4 linked regions of the Elephas maximus indicus genome follow. The protein of the gene in region 3 interacts with the protein of the main gene of each other region in a pairwise test. Links are inferred from orthologs where the notes say so. Each region holds a gene or a part of one and is shown on either strand. Other genes may lie near its edges. The genes, in order: CCDC42; IL16; TFIP11; cytochrome c oxidase subunit 5B, mitochondrial.

What was found.
Region 1: the proteins of TFIP11 (region 3) and CCDC42 interact in binary tests that used the Homo sapiens proteins (3 or more experiments, as listed by UniProt). The two-hybrid records come from large-scale screens. The link is inferred for Elephas maximus indicus from reciprocal best matches to the Homo sapiens genes TFIP11 and CCDC42.
Region 2: the proteins of TFIP11 (region 3) and IL16 interact in binary tests that used the Homo sapiens proteins (3 or more experiments, as listed by UniProt). The two-hybrid records come from large-scale screens. The link is inferred for Elephas maximus indicus from reciprocal best matches to the Homo sapiens genes TFIP11 and IL16.
Region 4: the proteins of TFIP11 (region 3) and cytochrome c oxidase subunit 5B, mitochondrial interact in binary tests that used the Homo sapiens proteins (3 or more experiments, as listed by UniProt). The two-hybrid records come from large-scale screens. The link is inferred for Elephas maximus indicus from reciprocal best matches to the Homo sapiens genes TFIP11 and COX5B.

The regions. Positions count from the first base shown.
Region 1 is NC_064837.1:11,978,464-11,986,139, reverse strand, and holds the start of CCDC42 (coiled-coil domain-containing protein 42), read right to left. Parts: upstream 3,004-7,676; coding exon 2,921-3,003; intron 2,598-2,920; coding exon 2,492-2,597; intron 2,243-2,491; coding exon 2,138-2,242; intron 332-2,137; coding exon 134-331; intron 1-133. UniProt on the Homo sapiens protein: Essential for male fertility. Required for sperm development.
Region 2 is NC_064831.1:71,286,598-71,294,250, reverse strand, and holds the start of IL16 (pro-interleukin-16), read right to left. Parts: upstream 3,003-7,653; 5' UTR 2,492-3,002; coding exon 2,452-2,491; intron 1-2,451. UniProt on the Homo sapiens protein: Interleukin-16 stimulates a migratory response in CD4+ lymphocytes, monocytes, and eosinophils. Primes CD4+ T-cells for IL-2 and IL-15 responsiveness. Also induces T-lymphocyte expression of interleukin 2 receptor. Ligand for CD4.
Region 3 is NC_064840.1:30,359,745-30,367,253, forward strand, and holds the start of TFIP11 (tuftelin-interacting protein 11), read left to right. Parts: upstream 1-4,500; 5' UTR 4,501-4,578; intron 4,579-6,473; 5' UTR 6,474-6,482; coding exon 6,483-6,691; intron 6,692-7,509. UniProt on the Homo sapiens protein: Involved in pre-mRNA splicing, specifically in spliceosome disassembly during late-stage splicing events. Intron turnover seems to proceed through reactions in two lariat-intron associated complexes termed Intron Large (IL) and Intron Small (IS).
Region 4 is NC_064835.1:88,116,743-88,123,913, forward strand, and holds cytochrome c oxidase subunit 5B, mitochondrial, read right to left. Parts: upstream 2,330-7,171; 5' UTR 2,266-2,329; coding exon 2,163-2,265; intron 1,656-2,162; coding exon 1,582-1,655; intron 1,405-1,581; coding exon 1,305-1,404; intron 707-1,304; coding exon 594-706; 3' UTR 502-593; downstream 1-501. UniProt on the Homo sapiens protein: Component of the cytochrome c oxidase, the last enzyme in the mitochondrial electron transport chain which drives oxidative phosphorylation.

The sequences.
Region 1 (7,676 bases), on a different chromosome or scaffold from region 3:
ACAGAGCCCCCAGGAGCTCCTAAATCCCAGCTAGCTCAGGCTGAAATGCCACCCATAGCCCCACACTCTGGGGAAGGGGAGGTGCGGCTGAGGTGGGCACCAAGGCTCTTCCCCACTCGACCCCAGGACTCACCTCAGAGTTCTCTACCACCCTCTCCAGGTACTTGTTGAAGATGGAGTAGTCCTGCAGCTTGCAGCTCAGCCGCTGGTGCTCCAGCCGCAGAGCTGCCATCTCCTGCTTGGCCTTGGCCAACTCCCGCATGCGCTGCCTCTTGAGTTCTCGCTCCTTGTTGGCTTTCTTCAGGGCGCGGATCCGCTTCTGGTCATTCTCCTGGGGCCGGAGCAGGGGCACCAGTCAGAACTGCCAGTGGCTGGAGGGGCCCTCAGCCCCCTGGTGCCCTCGCAAGGCCGGTTGGCTGAGTTCTGGACACTCTGAGGATGGGCAGGGAAGGCTGGGCCGCCCACTGGGAGAGGAGGCACACAGGAAAAGGGTCTACAAACTTATCTGCAGCTAGTTGACGGGGTTTCTGTGGAGTGAGTTGGGGTTCAGAAGGCTGTGAGGGGGGAGGTTTAGACCCAAGTTAAGAGGTGGCCTTGGGAAATGATTCTGATTCTGTGGGAGGAGTTCCAGACTTCAGGGGGCCAAATGCGGAGGCCCACGTCTCAGTCTCTGGAGACAGCTCAACCCTGGGGAAGGGTGAGACGGCCCGGAAGTGGACTTTCCAGAAGCAAACCTTCTGACAAAGCTTCCCCTGTTTCTGTTCTTAGTGGTGGACGTTTGTCATGGGGTAAATTCCTGGGCCCATAGCTGGGAGGCCCGAATGTTCTCCCAACTTTGGTGCCTCAGTTTTTCCAACTATATAAATGAAAGGCAGTGGCCCTTCTTTTTCTTCCAAAAGCTGAGGTAGCAGCCCTTGAACTACAGGGAGATGAGGCAGACAATGGGCCTGGTCCAGGGGACCGGAGGGGATAAGGCATTCCAGGGAGCATGTTCCTAGGGGCTCAGACTGGCACCAGGCCAGGGCTGGAGAAGATGGCATAGGCAATTTGACACCCAAAATGACATGAGGCTCAGCTACTGCAATGTGTCCAGTCCTGCCTTCTCCTTCCTACGGCCAAACCCTCCCTCCAAGATGTAGGAGGCAAACCCACCCCTCTCCCAGCACTTGTGTGGCCCTTTCCTCCCTGGGGCCCTGTTGATTCCCCATGGGTGGCATGTGTGGTCCCAGCATTTGGATGGCATGAAGGAAGGTGCTCAGGGGTTTGTTCTCTGCTCCCTAAGCCCAGGAGAGGACAAGGGCCCTAAGCCAATGGTTTTCAAATCCGACTGTACATCTGTAACCCCTGGAGAGCTTGGTAAAAATACAGATGCCTGGGACTGACCTCACGCCTGCTGAAAGCAAGGAGAGAAGAGAGTCCAGGCGTCTGTAACAAACTCTCAGGGACCTCAGTGCTGCTGGTCCTCTAGTAGCCATCTGGAGGACCCCTCACCCCCAAATCTCCTGCTGCTCCAACCACTCCATGAGCTTTTTTCTGGTCAGTAAAAGGACTGGCCCCCAGTCAGCCAGCTTCTTTTCCTGTCTGGTTTAGGCACAAGCATGGTGGAAGATGCTTAAGAGTAGGCTCCTCTATGGCCAAGGGCAGCAACGAGCCCCTGGAGCTGGGCCAGGCCCTTAAGGGTTTGATAAGTGCTGGCTGGACTTTAAGATGACTAAATCCCTCCTCTAAGGACCCATTGAGAGGGGTTGTCTGGGAGTGAACTCTGGTGCCTGCTCCTCTGACCATTTCCTGTCTGGACCTTCAGTGCAAGGATGGGTCCTGTCTTATTCATCTTTGTATTCCCAAGGGCCCAGCCCTGATTCTGATATATTCATTCATTTGTTCATTCACTAGGTACTGGCAAGGAAACAGGAAACAGCAATCTAGAAGGGGCAGGTAAACAGGAAATTCCAAACAGAGCTGTAAATGAGGGATTGGAAGGGGGAAAGCATCAGGATTGCTGGAGTACAGCCAGCCATTGAACCCAGGGAGAGAAGGTCAGCAAAAGCTAGGGGGATGAGGAGGGAGGGAAGGCAGTTTGCTGGACAGCAGAGTGTGAGTCCCACTGGCTGCCACAGTAGGTCACACCGCTACCTACCTGGATGAATTGCTCAAACTTCTGGATGTGGGCCGTCAGCTGGGCCTCCTTGATGCCCAGCTCCTCCCAGCGCAGGTTCAAGGCCTCCATCCTGCGTTTAAATGTCTGCGGGTGGGGAAAGGAGAGTGGTCAAGAGGGCCTCAGACATGTGTACTGAGGAAGGTCCCAGCATCCCCTGCCCAGAACTGCTATTCCCATGCCCGGAAGGGTTCATAGGAGACCTCTCCCTCTCTGTCCCATGGCTGGCTTGGAGCAGAGCACCCCAGGACAACAATAGCACCAGAGACTCGGATCATTTTTCTTCTCCCCAGAGGGAAGAGACATGCACCCCAGCACCCTGTCCCCTTGGCCCACCTCCTTCTTCTGCTCCATAGCATGGTGCATGATCTTGGCCTCCTTTTTCTTCTCCAGCAGCCGGATGGATGGGGACTCCGACTGCTCCTCAGTGGAGGGGAACTTCCTGCCCAAGACACCGGCAAGAGGGGCCTGTGGGCTCTGGGTGCCTGAGGCAGGTTGGGGCTGGGCAGTAACCAGTGGAGAGAGATACCCATGGGGAGGGAAGGGGGTGTCTCCCCTACCTGAGTGAAAGGTCTGGGGTGTGGAGAAGAGAGAGGCGTGCTCATTTGGAGAGTGAGCTGAGGCAGGGTGATGGGGGGATTGGTGTCAGGGTGATCTGGAGCCCTGGGTTATAGGAGGAGGCGGGGACAGGCTGGGAGCAGGAAGGTGAGGCATAGGTCGGTGGTCTAAGGCACAGAGAGATGGGGCGGGCTCTCAGACACTCACTGCAGCAGTTGCAGCAGCCGCTCCCCATACTGCAGCCGGAAGTACTCGGCCAGATCTTCCTCTTCCATGATTCCCAGGCTCATGGCTGCGGTGCCCTCACGGCCCAGTCAGCTGGGTCCTCACAGTGAAATAGTGGGTGGCGGATCCCAAGGGGTGGTGGCTGGGCTCTGGTTTCTTCTCTTCTCCTGCTTTCAGAGTCCCACAGGGGCGGTAGGTATTTGAGAGACTCTGCCCAAGATAGCTGGAGACAGAATCCCTGGCTCAGATGATGTGTTGTGGGGGGTGATGTGAGGTTCTGGTTACCTAGCAACAGGCTGCTTGGTTCTGTGGACTACACGCAGAACTCGTGCTTAGCCCTCTGCCTCCTGGCCTCATGTTTGCTGGGGTCCTGCTCCTTACTCCTGCCCTTACCCCTCGGGAACTCTGGGAGGAAGTTAGGCCTCAGTAGGTACTGCCGTGGTGCCCAGGCCTGGGAGGCAGGGCCGGGGTGTCCTGGCTGAGAAATGGGATTGTCCTTTTGAGGGACCCCTGCTCCTAGGCCTCCCGCCCAGGTTCAGGTGAGCCTTTGACAGATAGCAAATAAGAAAGGAAAGAAGAAGAGGTGCTTAGCTGAGGTAGGGGTGAGGGTGGACAGAGAAACATGGGCCTTTGGGGATGTGCAGGAGAGGGGCTGGAGATTCCTGAAGGTGGGAGGAGGCCTGAGGTTGACAACTAGCTAGTGGGTGAAGGATGTGTGTGCGGTCTAGATGTGTGAGGCTATGCAAGAAGCCTGGGACTGAAGAGATATGGCCAACAAGGGTGTGGAGGAGGGGGCAAGAGATTCGGGACCAGTGCCTCATTTTGAAGTTCTTAGATTATTAAATTTTGGAGACATGTCGAAGCAGGGTTATGAATATTTCACACATCAAATGTTTTCTTTGTGATGGCTGCCTTCCTCGACCCTGTCAGGGTAAATGCATGCACTCATATGGCCGTGAGGCTCAGCGTCTAGATTTGAGACCCGGCGTGTGGGGCAGGCGCCCTGGGTCTCCGTGGCAGACCCCGGCTGGGAGGTTCAGGCCGGCCCTCCGCTGGCTCCTGCCCGCGGACAGGCTCCCAAGCTCCCTCGATGCTCTCGCGCGGCTTCCTCTGCCCCACGCGGGCCACGCGTCCTGGCTCTGCTCTCTGTCTGGAAGGGAAGCCCATGTGGGGTGGGGGTCTCGAACCCGTCGTGAAGGGAGCTCAGCAACCGCCCTCTCAGCGGCATTGCTGGTCCTCTGGCGCCCCCTGCTGGCCACCCGCCCGTGGGGAGGAAAAGACGTGCTGGAGGGGCGCTGCCCACCCCCCACCCTCCTCCTTTCCATCCTCCCCTCAACCTCCTCCCCAGAATAGACCGCTTAGTGGGGATTTCTGAGGCCAGAAGCACAAGCCCGGTCGCTTTCAGTCAGCCTGGCGGGCTCAGGAGAGACAGCAGGACAGCCCCCCTCCCACCCAGAACACCCACCCCCCACAAACCCCTAAACCAGAGATGGCTTCTCCACCCGGGGCGCCCTAGAGAGTCAGAACCAGTAGGGTAAGAGCAACGACGGCAATAAGAACCGTAAACTCTTTGAAGAGTACGTTTCTCTGATCGTTTGTCCCCAGAGCCTGGCACAATTCTGACCCATGAAGGTGCGCACTTAACATCTGAATAAATGATAGTAACAGAACTAACAGTACTAACCCCACTAATTGACTTAATTCTTAAAACAACCTCCTCAAGGTAGGTACTGTTATTATCTTCATCTCCATTTATGGATGAGAAGATGGATGCTCAGAGAGGTTAAGTACCTTGCCCACTGTCATCCCGCTCAGAAGGCATGTTGCTGGGTGAAGGCACCCAGGGTGTCAACCAAGGGCAAGCTGTTGGTGATGTGTAATATGTTAGATTTTGGGCACTGGGAACACAAGTGTTCATTACATTATTCTTTACACCTTTCCCTATGTCTCAAATATCTCATAATAAATTAAAAAAAAATCTTTGCATCTGCCCCCATGGTAGTTAGTTATTTTTGTCATACTCAAGATTTGCTGATTCTCCTCCAAACCTTGTTTTAACCAGTGTCTTTCTCTTTCTCTTGTGTATCTCCCTCAACATCCTCCCCTTCTCCTAGTTCCCTGAAACTTGATTGACACTCCACTTTCTCAACCTGACATCCATTCTTGCTAATAACTGTCTCTTGGTGGGTATTCCCTCATGTGCCTCTTTATTTCCTTGGTAACTCTGTAGTCTTAAAATATCTCGGTATATTTTATGTCACTTCATTTGCCACACAGAACCACAGAATTTTAAAGTTAGAACAACTTGAGATCGTTTATTTCAAATGTCTCCTTTATAGAAGAAAAAAAAATGGAGGCTTGAAGATTATGCTTCATCTGCAGACTAAGAAAAGCCACAATTAAAAATGAGGTGAACTTCAGGTTTCCCACAAGATTGCAGATCAGGGCTTCTGTCCCTGGAGATTCTGTAGAACTGAGAGAGGTGGATGGCTAACCAAACGGAACACAAAAACTGTGAGGAAACCCTAGGGAGGCAGAAAGTGGTGGGATGTGGTTGTGTGTGTGTGTGTGTGTGTGTGTGAGAAATGGCAGTCCAGAACAGAAGAGGGCTAAGTACCAGGGATGGTGGATAGCTCATGGCATTTTCTCTTCTGCACATTGCCCTGGGAAGCTCACTGTACAGCTTGCAGCATCATCCCAGTGACAACTTAGTGTCAGCCCAGAGTGGTGGGGTGAGGAGGGGGCAGCACTGGAGCAGACACAAATGCACTCAGGCTGGATAATCCTGAGTGGTCCCTCTTTCATGGGCAGGCAGTTGCAACAGAGGGAGGCAGCCCCTAGAAAAGAACCATGTCTGGGGGGAAGGTTCTGGAAGGTTTACAGAGGAACAGTATTGCCTGGTCAAGGGAGGCAAAACAGGAGTGGGTGATCTTGGACTGCAACACCAGAGGCTGTCTGAATACATACATATGCAGAACAGGGCAGGGAGGCCATTTAACATTCCAGGGACAGTTCAAGGTAGTTGGTAGAACGTAGTCTCAAGCACACATGAGCTCATGAGGAAAAACAATGAGATGTCTGAGGGGGGCAACCTTTATAAAAGATAACAGACTGAACAACCTGTCCAAAGGAAACAGAACCAACAGATCAATAGAATAAGAATTTAAAATAAACATAACAAATATCCTCAAAGAGATGAGGGAGGATGTTGGGAACATGAAGAGAAGCAAGCGTGAATGGAGAAGAACGAATTGAATGGAAAGCTGAGTGGACGACAGAACTCAATGGATGCTTTAAATGGCAGGATGGATACAATTAAAGAACAATTAATGAATAGAAGACCATCTTTAAGAACTCTTCCAGAAGGCTTCAGGAGGAGATAAAGAATAAAAGCTAAGGTCCAGAGGATTGAAATAAAAATGTCAAATCTAAATAATAATAGGAATTTCATAAGGAAAAACAAATGGAGGGTATGAAAGAGGAGACTTGAGATTGAAATTCTTATATCTAAGGAGACAAACAAAAAACACATCTAAATATATACAGTGAAATTTAAGAATATCAGAGATAAATAGAAAAGTATTTTAAATATGGTGTTTTAAACAGATAATCTATCCTCGTGGTTCAAAAATTCAAAGAAAGTGTGTACAGTGAAAAGCCTCATCACTATCCCTTCTTTCAACCACCCAGTTCTCACACCTTTCCCACGAATAACTGTTTTTATGCATTTTCTGGAGTTTCTTTATGCAAATGCAGGCAGATAGGAATATGTTCTTATTTTTTACTCTTTCTACACAAAAGAGCATACAAACAATGTTTTGCTCCTTATTTTTTTAACTTAATAATATATATTAGAGATCTTGCCATATCAATATATTAAAAGTCTCCTCATTCTTTTAATTGCATTATGTTCCATTATGTGGATATTCTGTAATTTAATTAATTGGTCTCTTATTGATGGATATTTCGGTTATTTCCAATTTTTTGCAGTATATAACCTTGTATACATATCATTTCACATATCATTTCACATATGGGCAGGATAAATTCCAAGAAGTGGGATTTCTGGATCAATCCATTTGTATTTCTTTTTCTATGAATTGTCTCTCTAACTTCCTTTGTCCACCAATCTACTAGGTTGGTTGGCTGTTTTCTTATAGATTTATAAGAGTTCATTATTTATTAGAAAGGAGTTGCAAATACTTTTCCCAGTTATTTTATTGGTCTTTTGACTTAAGGCGTTTTTTTTTTTTTTTTCTTGTAGAATTTTTTAATTTTTATGTAGTCAGATGCCTTAATCTTTTCTTTTATAGCATCTGGATTTTGAGTCATAGTTAGAGAAGGTTTCCATATCACAACATTATTAAGGAGTCTTCCCATGTTTTTTTCAAATCCCTTTAGGGTTTCGTGTTTTACATTTTTATTTTTGAGCTGTATGGTGTTTACCATAGTATGGATCAAACTTTTTTTTTCCCTCCCTTCTGATGACTGCCTAGCTGTCCCTAAGCCATTTATGGACTAGTGCTGCTTTTCCCCATGGACACTCTCTGTTCAGTTGACCTGTCTGTCCACACACCTTTACTACTGAGGCTTTACGTGTGTTTTTATATGTTTCAGGGATAGTCCTCTCTCAGTGTGCTTCTTTTCCAGAAGCTTCTTGGCTATTCTAGTTTATTTTCTCAGATCAACTTTAGGATCGGATTTTCTAGTTCCAAAGAACACAACTAACTAAACAATA
Region 2 (7,653 bases), on a different chromosome or scaffold from region 3:
TTCCCTATGTGTTGTAAAGCCTATCACTATGATGTAATGCGATGGATTAGTGGCAGTTATGATGATGAGACCTACAAGATTAGATAGTGTCTTAAGCCAATCTCTTTTGAGATATAAAAGAGGGAAGCAAGCAGAGAGACATGGGGACCTCATACCACCAGGAAAGCAGTGCCAGGAGCAGAGCATGTCCTTTGGACCTGAGTCTCCTCTGCTGACATGCTCCCAGACCAAGGGAAGACTGATGACACAGACCTTCCTCCAGAGCTGACAGAGAAAGCCTTCCCCCAGAACTGGTGTCCTGAATTTGGACTTGTAGCCTACTTGACTGTGAGAGAATAAACTTCTCTTCGTTAAAGACATCCACTCATGGTATTTCTGTTATAGCAGCACTAGATGACCAAGATATCAACCATGATGTCCTTTTTTAGCTATTGGTCTTTTCAGATGATGTGTCCAGATTAGGTGAGCTAAAGTCTCACCATCCTCACTTCTAAGGATTGCATTTGTATTTGTTGGTTCTGTTTCTTCTAAGACCAATTTGTTCATTCTTCTAGCAGTTCACAGTATATTTAATATTTGTCACCAACACTACAAATCAAATGTGTCAATTCTTCTAACAACTACCCTCAGCCAAAGAGACCTGCCTTGCCCAAGGCTGTGCTCTGGCCCCAGGGGCAGCCCACATCCTATAAGAGGTCAATGCAGGGGCCAAACCCCATAGAATTAGCTGAGGCCTATGTTACAACAGCATCACAGCCCAACTTCTCCCCCTGTCCAGTTCTGCCTCTTTCCCGGTCCCAAGTGTTATTCCTGAGCACACTGTCCAGTCAGCTTTCTCCGCACAAATCTCTGCTTTAGTCTGTTACCAGGGAAGCCCAACCCAGGGCAGGCACGCAACCAGGTACAGGAAATGGCACAACCTCCCCATAAATAAAAGTGAATAAAACACATTCACCAAACATTGAGCACCTATGAAATACCAGGCCAAGTCCTGCCCTGGAAGATTCCTCAGTATAAGTAAATGCATTGCTGTGTCTCCAAAAGGAGACATTCCAAGTGCTTACTCCACTTTCTGCAAGAGGGAGAGGCCCTGGGCTACACTGCACCCTCATGTAGTCTTTTGCTCTGGGTGCTGTGTGATGGTGGCTCTGGGTCAAAATAGGAGAGCAGCTTGCCTGTGGGTGTTGACATATTCCCTCTGTCGTACAGATGCAGTTCGGGGCATTGCACAAGCTTTACCTCACTGAATGCTTTTATGGTCCTGCAAGGTAGGAATTTATTATCCCCATTTTGCAAATGAAGAAACTGAGCCATAGAAGAGGCTTAAAAAGATCCCGAAGATCAAGTAGTGGGTTACTCTCAGAGCTAAGGTTCACCCTTAGGTGGCCAGATCCCCAGTCTTGGTTCCCAGTCCCCACCCTCCACTGCCTTCCTTCAGAGTTCAGAGGATGGTTTAATGCAACCAAACCAAATGGATCCAGGATTCTCGCCGTATCTCCCTGGAGCTGAAAACGTCAGAATGTGCCTCCGACTCGCCTCATTTCCCTTTTTAAAGAAAACCATGTGTTTACTCTCTTATGCCAAAGTTACAACAGAGCTGAAGTTTTGCCAGTGTCGACTTTAAAAGTTGGGCAACGGGGTTCAAATCCTTTTCTCTGATGCCTGCTCATTTATGTTTCGGGAGCAAAAGAAGAAGGCTTTTATAAGGAACGATCAGTGGGGCTACACCTGCAGGAAGGGAGGGACCCTGGCCGGGGTTCCCGGGATCCCCCCACCCCCCCAGTTCTCAGGTCTGCGAGGCTCAAGGGTCCCATCTGCTCCAGGGACTTGCACTCCGCTCTCCCCATGGGGCTGAGCAGCTCCCTCTTCTGTTCTGCTTCATGCCGGAAGAAAGCAAGCCAGAAAGCCGAGCAGAGCTGGTGGGGATCCTGACAGCTACAGCAGTGAAACACAGATGCTTCTGCCCCTGAGCATTGCCCTAGGCACTCCCAGAGAAAGTGGGGGCTTGTAGGAACCACTGCCTTGTCCAGGGCTGACTCTCAACGCCCGCCCCCCGCAAGAGGTCCTGCGATACTCGGCTCACCCCTTTGCAAGCACAGTGAGCACACAGCTAATTTCTGCAAGGACACCCCAGACAGCAGGGACTGTGCCCGGCTGCATCTCACACACACACACACGTGCATGCACACATTCACACACTACACATGTGTGCACACATACTCTCACACATACACATAACACACACACAGCCCCACATGTGTGTGCATGAACAATCACACACTTACATGTGCGTGTACACATACACACACTCACACACACACACACACACATACACTATACCACTTAACCAAAACCATGCTTTCATGCCTCCGAGAGGGTGTCAGGAAAAGTCAAATCCTCCGTTTCCACCTCCCATGAGCCCCGGGAGACAGGCGAAGCAGCTCCACTTACCATTCTCCCATGGCAGGAAAACTCTCTTCTGCAAACTCATGACTCCGGGTTTCCAGGATGAGGGAAAGCGGGAAAAGTCCCTCCAAACCAGGATTCAAGACCGTCGTGGGGGACCAACGGCAGCTTCTATGACTGAGAGTATTTGAATAGGAGTTAAAAACTACAAAGTAACTCCTCGTTAGAACTGTTTCTCCTCCACAGGGAGGGGAAAAAAAAATCCCTTCCCCTTCTGCCAACAAATCTTTAACGTTCAGAACAGTCGCTTCCAACTCCTGCCCTCCTTGAGAAGCAAATGTGTGTAAAGGCAATGTTATTTCACTGAATCAAGCCCTCAGATCATAACCCTTTTCCTGTACCACAAACAGAAATGTAAAACCTCAAACATTCCTCTGGACTCGGAGTCTGTTACGAGAGGGCAGAACGCAACTCCTTCTGAGGTTTAATGTATATGGAAAATGTGCTAAACTGTTTAGATCGTCCCAAGTACTCGAAACTCGGCTCCCCCTCCCGACTTTTTTTTTTCTAAATGAGTTCTTGGTGTGTTTATGTAATTGCAAGGGACAAACACAACACCTAAAACCCTTGCCCAGAGTTGCAGTGATTCATTTTCTCCTTCATACACGCCACACACAAACACAGCGCCTGTTTCATCCAACTGAAAACGCCTTTCATAAAATCTGCAAAGGGCTTGGGCAGAGCAACTCCTGGTAAATGCAGCCTGTGTCCCGGGAAGGGCAGTTGGGCTGGGGGGCAAGTGGAAGCTGACTTTAATTAAGACAAACAGAAGGCGCTCTGACTCCTGCCCAAGGCAGGACAAGAAGGGACTATGGAAAAGGGGACATGAGCCCTGGTGACTGGGATAGCAAACGCCTTCAGCCCACTCAGACCAGTTTTGCCTGCTTGCCTTCTCATACCAGGAGGTTTTATTTTTGGACTTGGACAAGATGAACTATTATTTTAAATGACCGATTTTTGACTGCTGGGTAAAATGAGCCTCCGCCTATGCCCTTGGGTCCCCACCAAAAAAGCCAAAAGAATATACAGTAGGTGGCGAAATGGTCACGGCTAAAAACGGGGAAAGAGGACATTCACACGTTGAAGGGTGTGACGATTTTCTGGACACAGCTATAGGAGATTGGATTGGAGGTAGGCCTGCTCTGTTTGATAGAAAGAGAAAATTTCACTGAGAAGCAAGCGAAACCGGCCTTGGTTCTGTTCCTGAGTTACCTGTCACCTGAGAAGTGCCCCAGGCCTTCTTGGAAGAGGTCCTTGCTCTGGCTGCCACTGACTCTTGGACTGTGTCATTGCCGCCACTCAGGATTTTGAAGAGCTGCAGGTTCACCATCCATCAACACGCCTCCAAGTCACTGTGAGGCTTCCGCCCGCCCACCCCTTCCCCACTACACACACACCTATGCACACGCACGCCTTAGATCATCCTTTATCAAGGCAATATTGCAGGTTGCCAGAAACAAACAAACAAACAAAACCTCTGCAATCAGCACCTGGAGTCCGAACAGCTCCCCCAAAGCAACCCTCATCCCAGGGTGGACCGGGTTCCAGAGCTGGCACTTCCCTGCGGCCAGCCCTACCTTCCTCTAATTAACTAGTTAGCTGCCCAGGCCATGAACTTCGGGATGCCACGGCTGTGCCGTGAGCTTACCTTGAGGGCCAGAAACTGGCCTTTTGTTTAAGGAGCACCCAGCTGCAGCAACAGTGATGGTGGTTGTTGTTAGGTGCCCTGGAGTCAGTTCCAACTCGTAGCAACCTTGTAGGACAGAGTAGAACAGCCCCATAGGGTTTCTGAGGAGAGGCTGGTGGATTTGAACTGCTGACCTTTTGGTTAGCAGACAAGCTCTTAACCACTACGGCACCAGGGTTCCAGCAACAGTGGAGATGGGTTTAATCTACTAAGGCAATGACGATGACGTGATAGGCTGAACTGTACATGTGAAGACTGCTGAAATGGCAAATGTATTGCTACGTACATGTTTACCACAATAAAAAATGTAAAAAAAAAAAAAAGAGAGAGAGAGATGTTATAAGGGAAGCAAGTGCTTAAGAGGCAAAATGTAAAAAAAAAAGAGAGAGAGATGTTATAAGGGAAGCAAGTGCTTAAGAGGCACTGGGTTTCTGTTAAGGGTGACAAAAAAGATTGGAAACAGTAGTGAACACAATTAATGCCACCGAACTGTGCTTATAAAAATGTTTGAGATGCAAATCTTTTGTATATATACTTTACCACCATGAAAAAATGATGTGATAAAGTAATATTTATTGTTGTAGAAATATGTCTACGTTGTATTGCTAGGTAAATAAATAAATCAGGTACAAAGTGAAGTGTATAGTATGATCCACATACTTGAAAAAAAAGTGAACTTTGGAGATGTAATATTGAGGGGTTTTTTTCCCCATGAGTTGTCTTTTTCTCCAACATCCATTTGGGTTTTCCAAAATCTACTATGTTACCCCACGCAGCAATTGGTGTTTTGTTATGCAACAATGTATTGCATAATACGCACCAGCTTTCAATTCACATCATCTCTTAAAAAAAAAAAAATTAAGTCAGATCACTTGCATTGGAACTCCTATGTAGACATCGTTAAATCAATAGCTGTGACTCTGATCTTGAAAGCCGTGGATTTGGATGACAGACACGCACTTAGCCTTGGAGAAAGGAATTGTTATCTGGCATGGCAGGCAGAATAATGGCGCCCCCAAAATATTCACATCCTTATTCCCAAAACCTGTGAATAAGCATATTCACATAACGTAGCAATGTTACACGGCCAGGGGGAATTAAGGCTGCAAATGGAATTAAGATTGCTAACCAGCTGGCCTTAAAAAAAAGAGATTATTCTGGGCTATTAGGGTGGGCCCAATGTAATCCAAACGGGTCCCTTTAAAGTGGAAGAAGGAGGCAGAAGAGGAAGTCAGAAAGAAATCTGAAGATGCTGCACTGTTGGCTTTGAAGATGGAGGAAGGGGCCATGAGCCAAGGCATGCAGGCAGCTTCTAGAAGCTGGAAAGGGCAAGGAAATAGATTCTCCCCTAAAGCTTCCGGAAAGGAATACAGCCCTGCAGATACCTTGATTTTAGCCCAGTAAACTCCTTTCCGAATTCTGACTTCCAGAACTGTAGGGTAATGTCTTCATGTTGTTATAAGGCACTAAGTTCAAGCTAAGTTGTTACAGCAGCAATAGGAAATGAATACACTTAGGTTTATTTTTATTTCGTTGGTTTCTTTGATGTCAGAGGCTTGTCTTTGACTCTGAAGAGCAGAGCCTGGAGGACTCAGGGTACAAACTTCACACCATGAACCATAGATCCGCGAAAAACGTAGGATGATATAAAAGCAGCTCTTTTGTTCTTTTAATCCAAAAAAAAAAAAAGACAAAAGTCTGCCCAACTGGAAGGAGGATGAGGTTCAAAAGGCACAGGTTGGGGCCTTAGAAGGATGCATCTACTGTGCCTCTTCCTGAGGTTGGCACCAAGAGACAGGGCAGCACACACTGGGGACAGGAGAGCCAGGGACCTGTGCCCCACTTCCTGTCTGGAATTCCAGGAGGAAGGTGCTTCATTTGTGTGCCCTGAGCCCACCTGGAATAGAACTGTCCACCTGGGATAATTAGACAAATGTCTTGGGACAATCTTCTGTGTCTGCTGAGGAGGTAAAGGTACAGTTGCAATTCCCTGTGCCTTGGAGAGGAACCCAGAATTGCCAGAACGTGCCAGCCAACCCAGGGAGCCCTTGACAGTTGGATGAGGAGGAAGCAGAGTGAGCTGCATGGATCACAGAACCGGACGCCTTGGCAGCCGATGTGGTGAGGATGGAACCTTCCAGACAAAGCTAACAGGCTCCTTCTGCAGTGAGTGCCAGCAGAGAGGCCAGCGGGAGCCACGTCGCCCTCCTCAGCATCACCGTAGTACATTGTACCCCTAAGCCGAGCCCAGAGTGCACCTGAGGAGAAGGAGCAGGCAGAGAACCCTGAACTGACCGAGCAGTTACCCAGAGGAGACGGGAGTTTAAATCGAAGTGACTACATTTACTCCAAATTGGCAAAATAAATTATCCATCATCCGTGGAAATAAGGGCTTAAAGGGTTAGTTTGGTTACAGAGAAATAGGGTCACATGTTTGTACATCTGATCTTTTCTGTAAATAGCCTATCAGCTATACGCCAGCCAGTTATCACTGGCTAATGGGCTTATGGGTACTTTTTATTTTTTCATTTCTTCTCTTCTGTATTTCCTAATTGTTTTTTCCAAAAGGAACAGGTTTGCTTTCTAGAAAAAAAAGTGTGTGTGTGTGTGTGTGTGTCTGTCTGTCTGTCTGAAGTCCTAGTCCTTGGAGAAGGCCCCTGGGTAGTGCAAATGGTTTGTGCTCAGCTGGAAACCAAAAAGTTGGCAGCTTAAACTCACACAGCAGTGCCCTGGAAGAAAGACCTGGTGATCCGTTTCTATAAAGATTACAGCTAAGAAAACTCTATGAAGTAGTTCTACTCTGTAACACAAGGTCACCCTAAGTCAGAACTGACAGCACAAGACAAGGGTCCTTGGGAGGTCAGAGCAATACACAGATGCGGTGACTGTATTCTCGATGAGGAAAGGGTTTTTGTTTGGTTCACTGATTTATCCCAAGTGCCTAAAACAGAGACTGACACATAGTAGGCACTCAAGAAATATTTGTTGAATGATTTTCTTAACCAGCCAGCATGCTCCTGAGACATCCCAGAGGCCAAGTTCTGCGTTGATGACATTTTGTATCTTATCCTGTGTCTTCCCAGGGGCTTTGGTGGAAAATCAAAGGAGGGGCGTTGGGAATTGCTAACTGGACACCATGTCTTTTGGAGTGAATTTCCCACGTTTGCAGCAGTGGTGAAGCTAAGCAAAAGCTGTGAACACGTGCTTTTCAGCCTCTTGGTTTGAGGTTCCCATGCAGATATATCTGAGATGGAAGGTCCTTGACACTGATGTCTGAGTTTCTGGCCACCACCAGCTCCATGCAGAAGCCACCAGATCACCAAGCTTCCACGAACAGCTCCTCCTTCTTGAAATACGTCCCCCAACCCCAGGTTAGTGCGAATGGGCTTAAATGGCACAACCTCAACTGCAATCTCAAATTATAAGAGAAGGGATAGAATGTAGGGGGTCCTACACTGGGGAAGATTGTCTATTTTTTCCATCCTTTCTGTGCGCGCCTT
Region 3 (7,509 bases):
TCATACAGAAAGCACACTTACGCAGCCCTACGAAAGGAGGTTCACACGGCGAGGAGCTGGGGCCCGTTGCCAATGACCGGCACCAACTTGTCAGCTATGTCAGGAAAACACCTCGGAAGTGGATCCTCCAGGTCCGCTCAAACCTTCAGATTCACTATGGCTCTGGCCAACATCTTCACGGCAATCCCATAATACCCTGAACCAGCCCTACCCAGCTAATCCATTCTCAGACTCCTACCACAAAAGCTGGGATAATGTTCACTGTTATTTTAAGCTGCTAAGCTTCGAGGTGTGCTGCAATAGATAACTAGTACATTAAAAACAAACAAACCTGCACACCCATGTTTATTGCAGCACTGTTTACAATAGCAAAAAGATGGAAGCAACCAAGGTGCCCATCAATGGATGAATGGGTAAGTAAATTATGGTATATTCACACAGTGGAATACTACGCATCCATAAAGAACAGTGACGAATCTGTGAAACATTTCATAACATGGAGGAACCTGGAAGGCATTATGCTGAGTGAAATTAGTCTGCAAAAGGACAAATATTGTATAAGACCACTATTATAAGAACTTGAGAAATAGTTTAAACTGAGAAGGAAACATTTCTTTTGTGGTTATGAGAGGAGGGAGAATGGGAGGGTGAGAGGGTAGGAGAGGGGTATTCACTAATTAGTTGGTAGATAAGAACTACTTTAGGTGAAGGGAAAGACAGCACACAATACTGGGGAGGTCAGCACAATTGGACTAAACCAAAAGCAAAGAAGTTTCCTGAATAAACTGAATGCTTCGAAGGCCAGTGTAGCAGGGGTTTGGGGACCATGATTTCAGGGGACATCTAAGTCAACTGGCATAATAAAATATATTAAGAAAACATTCTGCATCCCACTTTGAAATGTGGTGTCTGGGGTCTTAAACGCTAGCAAGCAGCCATCTAAGATGCATCAATTGGTCTCAACCCACCTGGAGCAAAGGAGAATGAAGAACACCAAGGACACAAGGTAATTAGGAGCCCAGGAGACAGAAAGGGCCACATGAACCAGAGACTACATCACCCTGAGACCAGAAGAACTAGATGGTGCCCGGCTACAACTGATGACTGCCCTGACAGGGAGCACAACAGAGAACCCCTGAGGGAGCAGGAGAGCAGTGGGACGCAGACCCCAAATTGTCATAAAAAGACCAGACTTAATGGTCTCTCTGAGACTGGAAGGACCCTGGTGGTCATGGCCCCCTGACCTTCTGTTGCCCAGGACAGGAACCATTCCCGAAGCCAACTCTTCAGACCTGAATTGGACTGGACAACGGGTTGGAGAGGGATGCTGGTGAGGAATGAGCTTCTTGGATCAGGTGGACTCTTGAGACTATGTTGGCATCTCCTGCCTGGAGGGGAGATGAGAGGGTAGAGGGGGTTAGAAGCTGGCGAAATGGACATGAAAAGAGAGTGGAGGGAGAGAGCGGGCTGTCTCATTAGGGGGAGAGTAATTGGGAGTATGTAGCAAGGTGTATATAAGTTTTTGTGTGAGAGACTGACTTGATTTGTAAACTTTCACTTAAAGCACAATAAAAATTATAAAAACAAACAGACAAACCCATTGCTGTTGATTCCAACTCATGGTGAATCCACGTGTTACTGAAGAACTGCTCCATAGGGTTTTTTGGCTGTAATCCTCATGGAGGAGGCCGGCTGGTGCAATGATTAAGAGCGTGGCTGCTAACCAAAAGGTTAGCAGTTCAAATCCACCAGCTGCTCCACAAGAGAAAGATGTGGCAGTCCACTTCCATAAAGATTACGGCCTTGGAAATCTAATGGAGCAGTTCTACTGTGTCCTATAGGGTCGCTATGAGTTGAAATCGACTTGATGGCAATGGGTTGAATCTTTATGGAAACAGATAGCCAGGCCTTCCTTCCACTGTGTGGCTGGGTGGGTTTCAACCTCCAACCTTTAGATTAGTAGTCAAGCATGAACCGTTTGCACCACCCAGGGACCTAACTAATAACACAGGTCATCAGTAAATATTTGTTAATGAGTAACTACATGAATTAGGGAATGAATGATGAAGGCTGTGGTTCCTCAGCTTGCCTGTGGCTTTTGAGGCTGCTTGTTTTACAAAGAATGCCTCAGGCCTGTGACACCTTGTGTCCCAGCTTTTTATATGAGGATGGAGTTGTTACAAAGTCTTAAAAAATAAGTAGGGTAGAAAACATCTGTAAGGAACATATAAAGGGAAATCAAATGGGCTAATTAGCAGCTGATCTGGATTTTTAGTTCTACCAGACTCAGGACTGAATTTATGCTTTGGAACAAAATTCAAAATAAGAATAAACTATGTGAAAATGTATAATGTCACTGTCCTAGAAAAAGTTCTTGTGATAGACTTTAAATATATCAGCTTTGAAATGCCACTTATGGTTTGTTTCTATGGTACCAACCTATTTAAAGTTGGAACTGAGCAAGGATTTTCCCCCACCTCCCAGTCCTTTTGGAGGCAATATGGAAGCAGTGCCATATGGCAGAGGTTGTGCAAGGGGTGGTTAGGAGTGTGGCCTCTGGGGTGGTAATAGGAAGTATCTCTGAAATTTGAAGAATTGCAGAGATGATGTATGCAGAGAGCTTGGCAGTGTGACCCTGAACACACTGGAATCACTCTATAAGTATTAGCTCAACCGAGTGGACCCACATGGTGTGTGGCCGTATGCAGGGTATGCCAGGAAGAACACTGGCCTGGAAGTCTGAACTTCTGGGTTCCAGGCCTGGTTCTGTCTTTAAACTCACTGTGTGGCCCTTGGCATGTCCCCTGTACCAGGACCTCTAAGTTTCTTAGTGCTGCTATAACACAAATACCAGAAGTGGGTAGCTTTGAAGAATGGAAATTTATCTTCTCACAATTTGGGAGGCTAAAAGAGTGCCCCCACTCCCCCTGCCGTATCTCTGTGTCTAATTTGTTCTTTTTATAAATCAGAAGTAATTAGATACAGAACCCACCCCACTCGGGTATGAGCTAAGTAACAAAGAAAACCATATTTCCAAATAGGATTATTTCCACAGGTATAGGGGTTAGGATTCCAACACATATTTGGGGGAAGGGCGTAATTTAATTCAAAACAGGCTCCATGGCCTCATCTGTGAAAAGGAGAGGGATGGACCAATTACTGTCAGAGGACCCTGTCAAGCTGCTGCCAAGGAACCTTGTTGCTTGGCAACCCCCTCTGGGAAGGCCACGTGTCTGAGTACCTCGCTGGTAATCTAGGCACCGGCCTGGATGTCACTAAGTCCCAGAGTAATGCTTTTTCTGGGCAGTGACAGGAGACCAGGACTGGTATCACTCAGGGGCCTGAATCCAGATTTCTGGTCACCTTTTCTCATTTTCCCGAGGTTGGTCACTTTAGCCCAGACACCCTGAAAAAACCATGTTATCTTTGAGGGTTAAAGGGGTGTGAGATTGTGACTTCTAAATGCAAATAGCCACAGCTATTTACTAAGCTCTTGCTATGCCAGGGAGTCCCTGGGTGGTGCAAATGGTTAAAGCTTGGCTGCTATCCAAAAGGTCAGAGATTGAAGTCCACCTAGAGGCACCTCGGAAGAATGACCTGACGATCTACTTCCAAAAAATCAGCCATTGCAAACCCTATGGAGCACAGTTCTACTCCGACACACTTGAGGTTGGCATGCGCCAGAATCCACTGGTAAGCAACTGTCTTTTCACTATACCAGGAACTGTGCTAAGAGCTTTACATGCAATAATTAGTCCATTTTTGTCCTGAGAATAATCATTTTAGATCAGCACCTTCATTATCCCCATTTTACAGATGGTGGAATTGAGGTGAAGAGAGGTGAAGCAACTTGTCCCACGTCCCACCTCTAGGAAGCAGCATTTAGCAGCACCCCACACCTAGCTAGACCCATTGTACATTTATATTAGATATGTGAATGAATAAATTATTTATCAACCTGTTTGAAAGGAAAAGAACGGAACGATTTCCCGGAGAGAACACTTGGGAACTCTAAAGTTGGCTCATTTATTCCTGTACGCCCTCAAACTCCTTTATAAGGCAACGATTCTGCGCCCACGATGGTGCTTATACTGAAGACCTAAAGATACAGGAGACACAGTTGCGGCCTTCATTACTCCCATTTGAGGGCCGTGTACCGGGCTCCCTACTGTCTCACACTAATGCTCACAACTATCCTATGGGCTAGTCCTATATCCCCATTTTACAGATTCAGAATCTGGGGCTGCTTAGGCTGAGGTGGCTCGGCGATGTCCACATGGGTCATCGTAGGTGGGCGTCGCCGTACGAGGCAGGCACAACAAGGAGCTGGACATGACGGCAAAGCGGCCGCTCGGGGACCCACAAATCCCGGTTACCTTTCTAGTATCTCTGCCCCACCGCTTTAGAACCCCAAGACGTTCTGGCTTTCCACTGTTGCCATGGGAGCCCGCAAGCCGTGAGTGCCGCAGGCGTCATTTCCGGCGCGCCTGACTAAGTGCTTCCGGGTCCCGGCCGCCGGAGTGGCGCGTTGATGGTGTAGAACAGACGCCCGTGTTTGGTTCGCGGGACATCGGAGAGGTGAGCTACGTCGGGGAGTGGAAACGGGCTGAGAAAGAGCTGCGCCACGGGGAGTGGGGCGAGGGAAAGGCAGTCTTGGCCTCACCGGTGTAGGATCCCATCTCGCAGACGGCGTTGCCGAGGCCCGTAGAGGGACCGGGCCGCTCGATGTTACGCGGGAGTTGAGGCCAGGGCCAGGGCCGAGTCAAGAACCTGGGCCACCTCCGCGTAGCGTGGACAGCAGGGTGGAGAGAAGGCCAGGCTCTAGTTCGAGCTCTGTTAGCCGTGGAACCTAGGGCGTGTTGTTTCGCTCCCCCGTCTCATTTTTGTTATTTGAAGCGTGGAAACTTTAGTAGTATCTGCCTCGTATAAGTGTCCTGGTGCTTACGTTATGTAGCCGACCTGAAGTGCCCAGCAGGTACTTAATACCTACTGAGGGCGCTACAACTCGTAGCTACTCTGATTAGTACCGTGGTTGTGCCCCAGAAGCCAACGGTATAATTTACTCCCATGTATCTGGGACTCCCAGTCTCTTCCAAGAACATTTACCGCCTATGCACTCCTGGATGAGGTTGGGACCAGCTGCACCCGCAGCAGTGAGTAGAAGAAGAAGGGGGGAACTTTCTGACAGAGCTGAGCAGAGGTTGACACACTGCTTGTGGAAGTAGTCAGCAACTGGTGGAGAAGAATCACAGTCCCTGTCACTTATCGAATGTATTGCTATGCAGTGCACCATGCTTGACACTTCGTGTGCATTTAACACCCACACACTGAGTATTCGTTGGAGTTGAGATTTGAACCCTGGCTGTGATTTTAGCACCTGATTGATTTCATAATCACCTTCCTAGGTTCATTCTCTAATCCAATAATAGTAGCAATGATAAACTTAACCAGGGTGATGACTACAGCAGCAGCTATTCTTTGAGCATTTATTATGAGTTGAGTGGTTTTGGTGTCCCTGGGTGGTGCATATAGTTAGGCACTTGGCTGCTAACCATAAGGTTGGTGGTTCAAGTCCACCCAGAGGTGCCTCAGAAGAAAGGCCTGGCAATCAACTTTGAAAAATCAGCCCTTGAAAACCCCTATGGAGCATAATTCTACTCTGATACACATGGGGTTGTCATGAGTTGGAGTCATGTACGACAACTGACTTGGTTTTTTGTTTTAAGAGATTTTTTTAAGCTCCATCTCATTGAATACCACCTTATATTCTCTAAGGTTGGTACAGTAGCTAATCCCAGTTTCAGAAAGAGACAACCAAGTCCCATCACCCGGCCACCAAGAGGTAGAGTCTCTATTCCAATCCACATATGCCTGACTGTTAAGGTAGTGTTCTTAATTACGGCTGCCTTCCAACTCATCAGAAAAGGTTCATTTTTGGGAAAGAAAATAGAGAGAGATAACTCTAAGAGTCTGTCTCTTCAAGTAATTTATTTCAGAAAGTACATCCCCCACCCCACCAATAAAGAAAAAGTCACTCTCCTGAGCCCATGCCAAGAGTCCAGATACAACTATTTCAATAATTGAAAATAGTAATAAAATCGGGGGTTTGGGAAGATATTCACCCAATTTCTGAGGCAATAATATATAGAAGAACGTATTTACTTAGTTGTTTTTGTGTGGCTTTTGTATATATGTGGGTGAAGTCTTACAGCATTGACTAGGACAGAGAAATGCATATTTTTTAAGAATCACAGATGGTTGACATTAATCTTTTGTTTCACCTGTTGTAGTACTGATTGTTTCCTGAAATATGTCTTTAACTGTCCACTTTATTGAACAGTAACAATGATTTTAACAGACTTTGAGTTTCATAGAAGTTCTGAAGGCAGCAAGGAGCAGGGACTCACAGGAAGCCTTCCATTGCTGCCTCCAGGACTTTTCACAGACTCTGCCCTTTTTGTCCCTTCCTTTAGTGACGGGCCATGTCGCTGTCCCACTTGTACCGGGACGGGGAAGGCCACATGGATGAGGACGAGGATGAGCATGAGAACTTTGAGATCACCGACTGGGATCTCCAGAATGAGTTCAACCCCAACCGGCAGCGCCACTGGCAGACCAAGGAAGAGGCCACCTACGGGGTGTGGGCAGAGCGAGATTCAGATGAGGAGCGACCCAGCTTTGGAGGCAAACGGTACTGGCCTGCGTGGGGCTGGCTCTTCCTGCTTTAGGGAAGGAGAGATGGATGGAGGGCGCTGGGTAGACCTTGTGGCCTCTTGGAGTCCTTTAGGTATGTGACATCAGCTAGGGAGGTCCATTTTCCTCTTCAGGCGAGAATGCCGCTCTTGCTGATTGAGTCATTCAGTCAGTGTTTATAGAGCAGTTACTGTATGTCAGGCCCGGGCTACAGATCCATCTAGTGGATGGAGACAGGCATTAATCAACCCTTCACACAAACACTGGAAGTCTGTTACTGTGATTTCAGACCTGAAGGAGAGCAGGGTGTTTGACCTGTTCAGGGAGGTCAGGGAAGGTCATTCTGGAGAAGTGACCCTTGAGCTGATATGGAACTAGAAGGTAACTGGAGTAGAAGGAGAGGCAGGAGGATGCAAAGGCCTTAGATTGGAGGCAGCAGGGTATCCACAAGGAAAAGAAAAGGTTTTGCAGGCTGGAGTGGAGAGAGGGAGGGGGAGCATATGGGAGGGGAGGCCGGAGGTCAAGTCCTTAGGGGCCTGGAGGTGGTGGTAGAGAGAGTGAAGTGTGGTGCAGTCTGAAGAAGGCTCTTTTGCTGATGTGCAGAATAGGCATGGAGCTACAGTGGAAGTGGGAGCTCCGGAAGGAGGCCATGGCAGTGCTCTGCAGAGGTGGGGGAGGCCCAGGCTAGGATGGGGGCAGGGAGATGGAGGAGTCAGGCTCAAAGTCTCCCCTCCCTTCCTGAACACAGCGTGAGACCATGCGTGAGGGACCACAGCTCACTTGACAGGAGCGTGGAACTGATTTGGATTCATCTTG
Region 4 (7,171 bases), on a different chromosome or scaffold from region 3:
AATTTATTTGTTGATGAAACCTAGTCATTGGTTCCCAGGACTGTCCCATATTCTGGATTTTGCTGATGGTATCCCCATAAGCTATGCTTTGAACCTGGGTTCCCCAGACTTCAAGGTCCCCAAAACTCTTCTTACAAGACCACCCTGTGAGGACCTACTATTTCCCAGGTTCTTTACATATATTAATACTACTTCTAACACCTCACAAGGTATTTGTCTGAGATGTAACCAAGCCTCAAAAAACACGCCGACAGTGACACAGCTAAATGATGGAGCCAGTATTATAAATCTGGTCATCTTGATGCCACAAGCCCATGCTTCCCCCACCAACAACTCCACATGGTTCCAATCGCTGCATTTTGTGATTATCGGCATAGTTTTATTGTTAATCCAAGCAGTATTGATTAGGCATTTTAAGTCTATAGGAAACTAGAAAAGATAGCTAATTCCTTACATAAGAATCATCTACGCCTCCCCAAAAAATACAGGCAAGAAATAAGATCAATTACAGGAGAAGGAGCCAACGCAACGGCTAGTCTTTATTGGGAAGAAGAAATCTTTACAACACGTTTAGAGTGAGTGGGTGCAGGGGCTCAGTGGGCTAGCTGGTGGGGCACCAGCTTGTAATGGGTTCCACAGCCAGGGCATCGGTGGGCCTCGCCTTTGTGCAGCCAGAACCAGATGACAACACTGTTGTCTTCTTCGCCTGAAAGGAAAACGGTGTCACAGGCTGTCTAGCCTGGAAGGGGAGGTTTTCTCCATTAATCTCTTTTCCTCAAAAACCTGAGACCCAAATAAAAATGATGGTTCACATCTGAGATCAGTTCAAGCTCTCTTCCCCATTTTTCAGATGAAGGAACTGAGGCCCTAAATTTACCTGAGACTATACTGACTTCACGTCAGAGTCACTATAGGTTCTAACTTCACTTGCCGAGTAGAACCCCAAAGCCAGGGCCATTTGGATATGCCTCCCTAGTACTGAAATGATGCCTGACACAGAGAAAAGACACAATAAATACCTTCTGAACGAATAACCCTTCTTCATGCTACATTTCCAGGAAACCCGTATTACTGACGTCCCATGCCCCTTTCCAGTAAGGATGACCTACTGAGGCAGGAGTCTTGGGGCCTGGATGTTTAGAACAACTTATTCACATACATATCCTCTTTACACTTCCACACTCACACGAAGACCTGAAGCAGCTTACAGATGTCCCGCGGAGTCCTTGGGTGGTGCGAATGGTTACGCACCCTGTACAGTAGGATGTATTACACAAACAAGAAAACAGTACCAAGTTACTTACAGATACAACCCACTAGTCGCTTGTTGGTGATGGAGGGAACTAAGTTAGGGTCTTCCAAGGTGCCTGCAGCTGCCTTTGGAGGAAGGAGATTGTATGGATCCTAAACAACAACAACAAAAAAACAATTGAGCCATTATGCCAAATGATCCCTATACTCTAGGAGCTCAGGGGGCTGTTCCCACAAGCCAGCTTTCTTGGCTCGGATGCTTCCAGAGAAGAGGCTGCTCTGATCCCATCCAAGCCGTGAGCTGCAGAAAAGGTAAATAAGTCTGCTTACCAGTCCTTTCCGCGCAGCCAACATCACCTCCCTCTCCAGCCCCGTCGCCTGTTCGTCGTCAGTGGGTACACCGCCTAAAAAAAGATACAGCGAATTATGATCAAAAGGAAAATGCACACTTAAATTTTTGCAGATTTGCAGAGAGCTCAAAGCTCCTAAAGGAAATCCTAGGTTCTCTAAGGTCCGTCAAGTCATCACCCTCAAAAGCGGCAGCACTGAGAATCTTTCCTTCCTCCAACCCCGAGGCCAGGTTTTTCACACTTTTTCTAAACGGAGCCTGGTAAGAGCCCTACTTAGTCATCGAGCCTGAGGTGGGCACGGGTTTGAAGGGCGGCCCGGCTCCGGCCCTCCAAGGTCACCCGACGCCTCCATTTAGGATTCTTCCGCGGCGGGGTCAGTTCGGTGGGCGACGGCAAAGGCCCGGGACCACAGGGAGGCTCCCGCGGGACCTGAACCACTCGGGGCCGTGGGGTGATCACTGGGGCCCCCAGGAGCCGCACAGCCGGTCCCGCTCTGCTGCCCCAGCACCACCCCGAGTGGTCAGCGGCGCTGGCCCCTGGCGCGCCCGGCGGGCCGAGTACCTCCAGATGCCATGGAGCGCAGGGCGGCGACCCCATAGGGACCGCGAGCCCTCAGGGCCTGGGCGGCCAGCGCTCCAGCTCCGCGAAGTAACCTTGAAGCCATGACGCCCGCGGCAAGCAGCTGCACTTCCGTGAGGCGCTCCCAAGTGGGCGGGGCTTCCGGTGGTGGGCTTATTTTCCGGTCCTGTCAGCTTTCCGCTTCCTCCCCGCCCCGGGCCCGCCCACTCACGTGACTTTGGCGGAACTTGTGTGGAAGAGACGGACTGCGCACGCCCGACCCTGCCTGTCTCCGCTCCCTCTGCCGCGCATGCTCGGCGCCGTGTCGGTGGCCGCCGGGCATCTGGTGTGGCTTTGGGGCGGCTCCGTGGTCTCGGTTGTACGCTTTCGGGGTTTGCACTTTACTAACGCTAAGATTTGGGCCAAGTCGTTCAGTTCCTTATGTGTAGAATGAGGCAATCCCATTGGAGTTACTGTGCATCTTGCCTGATAGTTGTGCTCGATCGCGTCTGTCCAAAGACTTGCTGAACTTAGAATGATTTAAAAACGTCCAAACCAAACCCCTTGCAGTCCAGTAAATTCAGACTCAGCAATTACCCTATAGGATTTCCAAGGAGCAGCTAGTGGATTCCAACTGCCAACTTTTTGCTTAGCAGCGGAGCTGTGGGAGAAAAAAAAAAAAGAAACCCGTTCCATGGAGTAAATTGACTCATAGGGACCCTACAGGACAGAGTAGAACTGCCCCATAGGGTTTCCAGGGAGTGCCTGGTGGATTCGAACTGCTGGTCTTTTGGTTAGCAGCCGGAGCTCTTAACCACTACGCCACCAGAGTTTCCACCGCAGATAATCCCAGTACCCAGTGCCGTCGAGTCCATTCCGACTCATAGCGACCCTGTAGGACAGCATGTAAATTGTAAATTGTACTACTTGGAAGGAATATACAGAATCAATTTTGTAGGACTTCTCTTGGCCCACTAAGATTAATATGAGGCAAACTGGGGACGATTGAAGTCCCAGGCATTCCCACCTGTCAGGTTGTTGTTACTGTGTGCCATCGAGCCAATTCCAACTCAAAGCAATCCTATAAGGCAGAGTAGAACTGCCCCGTAGGGTTTTCTAGGGTGTAATCTTTAGGGGAGCAGATTGCTAGCGCTTTTCTTCTGCAGAAGGGCCTGTGGGTTCAAACCGCTAACCCTTTCGGTTAGCAGCCAAGCACTTACATTGCACTACCAGGGCTCCTTGTCCCATGCAGGTATTGAAGATACTTTAAAAGGACCTAGTGGAGTATTCTTGGCTGAGAATCACGGCTCTATCCTCAAATAAATACCTTTAAACAAATATATACATATAAAATACAAAAATATATACTATGTAAGTTATTAGTTGCTTTTTTCGTTTAACAAAATATTTTGTGGACATCTCTCCAGATCAATACATAAGTTATAGATACATATAGATATAACATATAGTGTATAAATGGTACATAACTGATTTAATATATAATCAACTCAACAGCGTACAATAATTGCTGCATATATTATCACTGTGACATAATTTACCCGACCGTTTTCCCCTTGGTAAATATTCAGATTGTTTCCAGTTTTTTGCCACTCAAACAACACTGCAGTGCATGTCCACGTATCCTTACGTTCTGGAGTTTTCATTTTCTGAAGGACAGTCAAAGGGTGCACACGTTTAACATTTAATAAATCTGCCAGATTGTTTTCCCAAACGTTTGGAGCAATTCATGTTTCCACCAGCAGAGGCACATGAGAGCCAGTACCAACTCCCACGTACTGAGAGTTACCTGCCTTCTGCAAAGTGTGCCCACCTGTTTGGTGAAAAATGATGCTATCAGTGCTGGTGGTATTTACGTTTTCAGCTCCTGTACCTCTAAGACGGTTGAGCATCTTTTCACACGTTTACTGGCCATTTGCATTTCCTCTGCTGTGAACTGCCTGGCTCAGCCACTCAGCAAACTGCTTAACCTCTTTTTGCCTGAGTTGTTTCACTTTCTTTAAAATGGGAATAACACCTCTCTCTCAAGTCTGTGGAGCCCTGGTGGCACAGTGGTTAAGAGCTTGGCTGCTAACCAAAAGTTCGGCAACTGGTGGAGGGAACTAGACCCATGACGGCAAGGGTGGCTTTAAGACTTTCCCTGCACACCTTTTGTATTATTTTCAGTTTTGTTTAACTATGTAAATGTATTATTTATTCAAAAATAAAATTAGTATCTTGAAAATTGGCTATCATATTCTTATTTTGGGGTGTTGTTTATCTTTTAATTTTCAGGAACTCTGAATAGTAGGAAGATTATGTTGAGTTCTCGCCATGGACCAAGGCTGGTCCATAATCAAGAGTAAAATGCAGTTTCTGACTGAATTTATCACAAGAAAGTGGGAGCACGTGGTATTTTTTATTTGGGGCAGAGGCCACATAAACTTGAAATAATGGTATCCAAAAACGAACTTCGTCTGTGTTTTTGTTACCCAGAGGAGCAGCTCCGAGCTCTGACTGGACCACAAAGGCCCTGACCACTCCAGAAGGTGTGTGTTGGGTCAGTTCTTAATGACACCGGTAGTGGTGGAAGGAAGCTGCTGAATGCAGGCCTGCCTGGACCCTGAATCAGCAAGGACAGACCAGGCCCCAAAAGACCCCTATGGGGGCCTGAGGAAGATGTGAGGAAGTGGCTGAACCTCCACCAGATTTGGCTGGGGGGTAGGGGGGTGGGGGGGGGTGGGGAGGGGGGGTGTGGATGGCCTGGCAGGCTGCCCCTGAAAAGCCAGGTCAGAATAAACACAACATTTTTATGCAAATGCAAGAAACCCAAAATGAGTCACCTGGAACTCCTATCAGCATGGGGCCTGGCTGGAGCTGGGGCTTAGAGGAAGTTTCTAATTATTTTTTTTTTAAAGAAACAACAGGAGCCTGGTAAACCAGCAGGTCAGTAAAGGGTGCATCCCACAGGAGACAACCTGAATTGCCACCCTTCCCTTTCCAGACCCTCTGTCACCACTGACACCCTCCCCCCAGTCCTCTGGAGTCCCATTTATTCTTCCAAAGAGGAGCTTGAGATTCACCTGGGAAATCCTAGCATTCCCCTCTCCCCCAGGTTCACCTCTTCCTTCCCGTCTCCTTCCTCCAACCCTCCCTCCTCCCCCTCCTCTGCTGGGCCAGCCATGGGGATTCTTCTTTCCTAAGTCCTCAGGGGCCCACTGAACCACACAGACGGTTAGTAAAGGTCGGTTTACAAGGGCAGAGTTGAGGGAGCCACAGGGATGATGAGGACCAGGGATGGCCACAGTGGGATGCTCTGACCATTCCAGGCCTGAGGGAGCAAAGGGCGGACACGGCTTTACTGAAACTCTCTCCTGGCCCTGTATCACCCTCTGTATTGCCAGCATGTTCCAGTCCATCATTGTGGCTATTGTGCCAATCCATCTCATCGGGAGTCGCCATGAGTCAGAGCCAACTCGATGGTATTTATCTACCTAATAGCTCCCTCCAGCCTGCTGTGAAAATCAAATGAGGTAATGTTTGTGGAAGCAATTTGTGCACCGAAAAAGAGTTATTCTTGTGTTGGTTATTATTCTCAATTTTGCCTGGGGTTGGCTCTGCCTCTGCTTCTATATATTAAACTTTTAAATGGTGCTCATTAAAATGGGTCTACCAATATATGTTTAAAACATTTAAAACAGCAATAGTTTTCCAAAGAACAGTAACAAGTTCAGGCGGGATACTTTCAAGCTTTTTAATATCCCTTTTGACAACCTGAACTCTAGTAAATTAACCAGCCCAACCTCCTAGAGGAATTTCTCAAAGGAAGTAAAGGTCGAGCAGCAACAGTTGCTGGGAAGACATGCCAACACACTAGCACACTGCCTTTCCACCCATCACTCCTGTGCCCCCAAGTAGGTGCTTCCAGAGTCCCAGGGGTGGCTTTGGGCTTAGCTCCACCACCCTCCTGCCTGGAGAACCACCAAGAAGATCGTGGATTAATTATTCATGATGCCTAATTAAAAATCAGTGCGCTCACACTGTTGTTACTGTGGGCCTTCAAGTGGATTCCAACTCATAGCGACCCTACAGGGCAGCGTGGAACTGCCCCATCAAGTTTCCAAGGCTATAATCTTTAGGGAAGCAGATCTCCAGGTCTCTTCTCCCATAGAGCAACTGGTGGGTAGGAGCCATCCACATTTCGGTTAGCAGCTGAGCCCTTAACCACTGTGCCACCAGGGCTCCTTTCCCAAACCATAGGGCATAGGTTTTAACTGATGGCATGACCGGCAGGGGATAAAAAGGGATGATGTGTGTAAATGACCTAGCTCTGTCAGGCACAGCATTGGCTCAACCAGCACTTGTTGAATGTGAATGAACAAACATGACATCCCCAAAAGCACACACTCACACACATAAACACATGCCCAGGACAGATCTGTTCTCAAGACAAAACGTGGTGAATAACAATCATGTTGTTGTTTTGTTACCTGCCGTCAAGTCAGTTCTGACTCATAACGACCCTATAGGACAAATTAGAACTGCCCCATAGGGTTTCCAAGAGCAACTGGTGGACTCGAACGGCTGACCTTTTGGTTAGCAGCCAAGCTCTCAACCACTGGGATGGTGGTTACTAGTGGAGTGCTCTAAACATACACCTGTAAAGCCTCACCTCTGGAAAGGTCTTAAGTGATCGGTGAAGAGAAAGAGGAAATACTGTGGGGCACTTCTACTCTGTCCTATGGGGTCGCCATGAGTTGGAATCAAATGGACAGCAGTGGGTTTGGTTTGGGTTTTTTTTTTAACTGATTGGACTGCCCGCCATAACAGCTACAGTCTGTTCTGGGTTCAGAAATCTTGACACAACTCCCTTCCATCGCTGTGATGTTGGCGAGTGATCCATTTCCCTGCATAGCTCAGTGTCCTCATCCATAAATTGATTTAGTAGTTTAACACGCGTAAAGCACACGGCACAGTCCAACGGCTCCATCAACACAAACTATTGGTAACTGCGG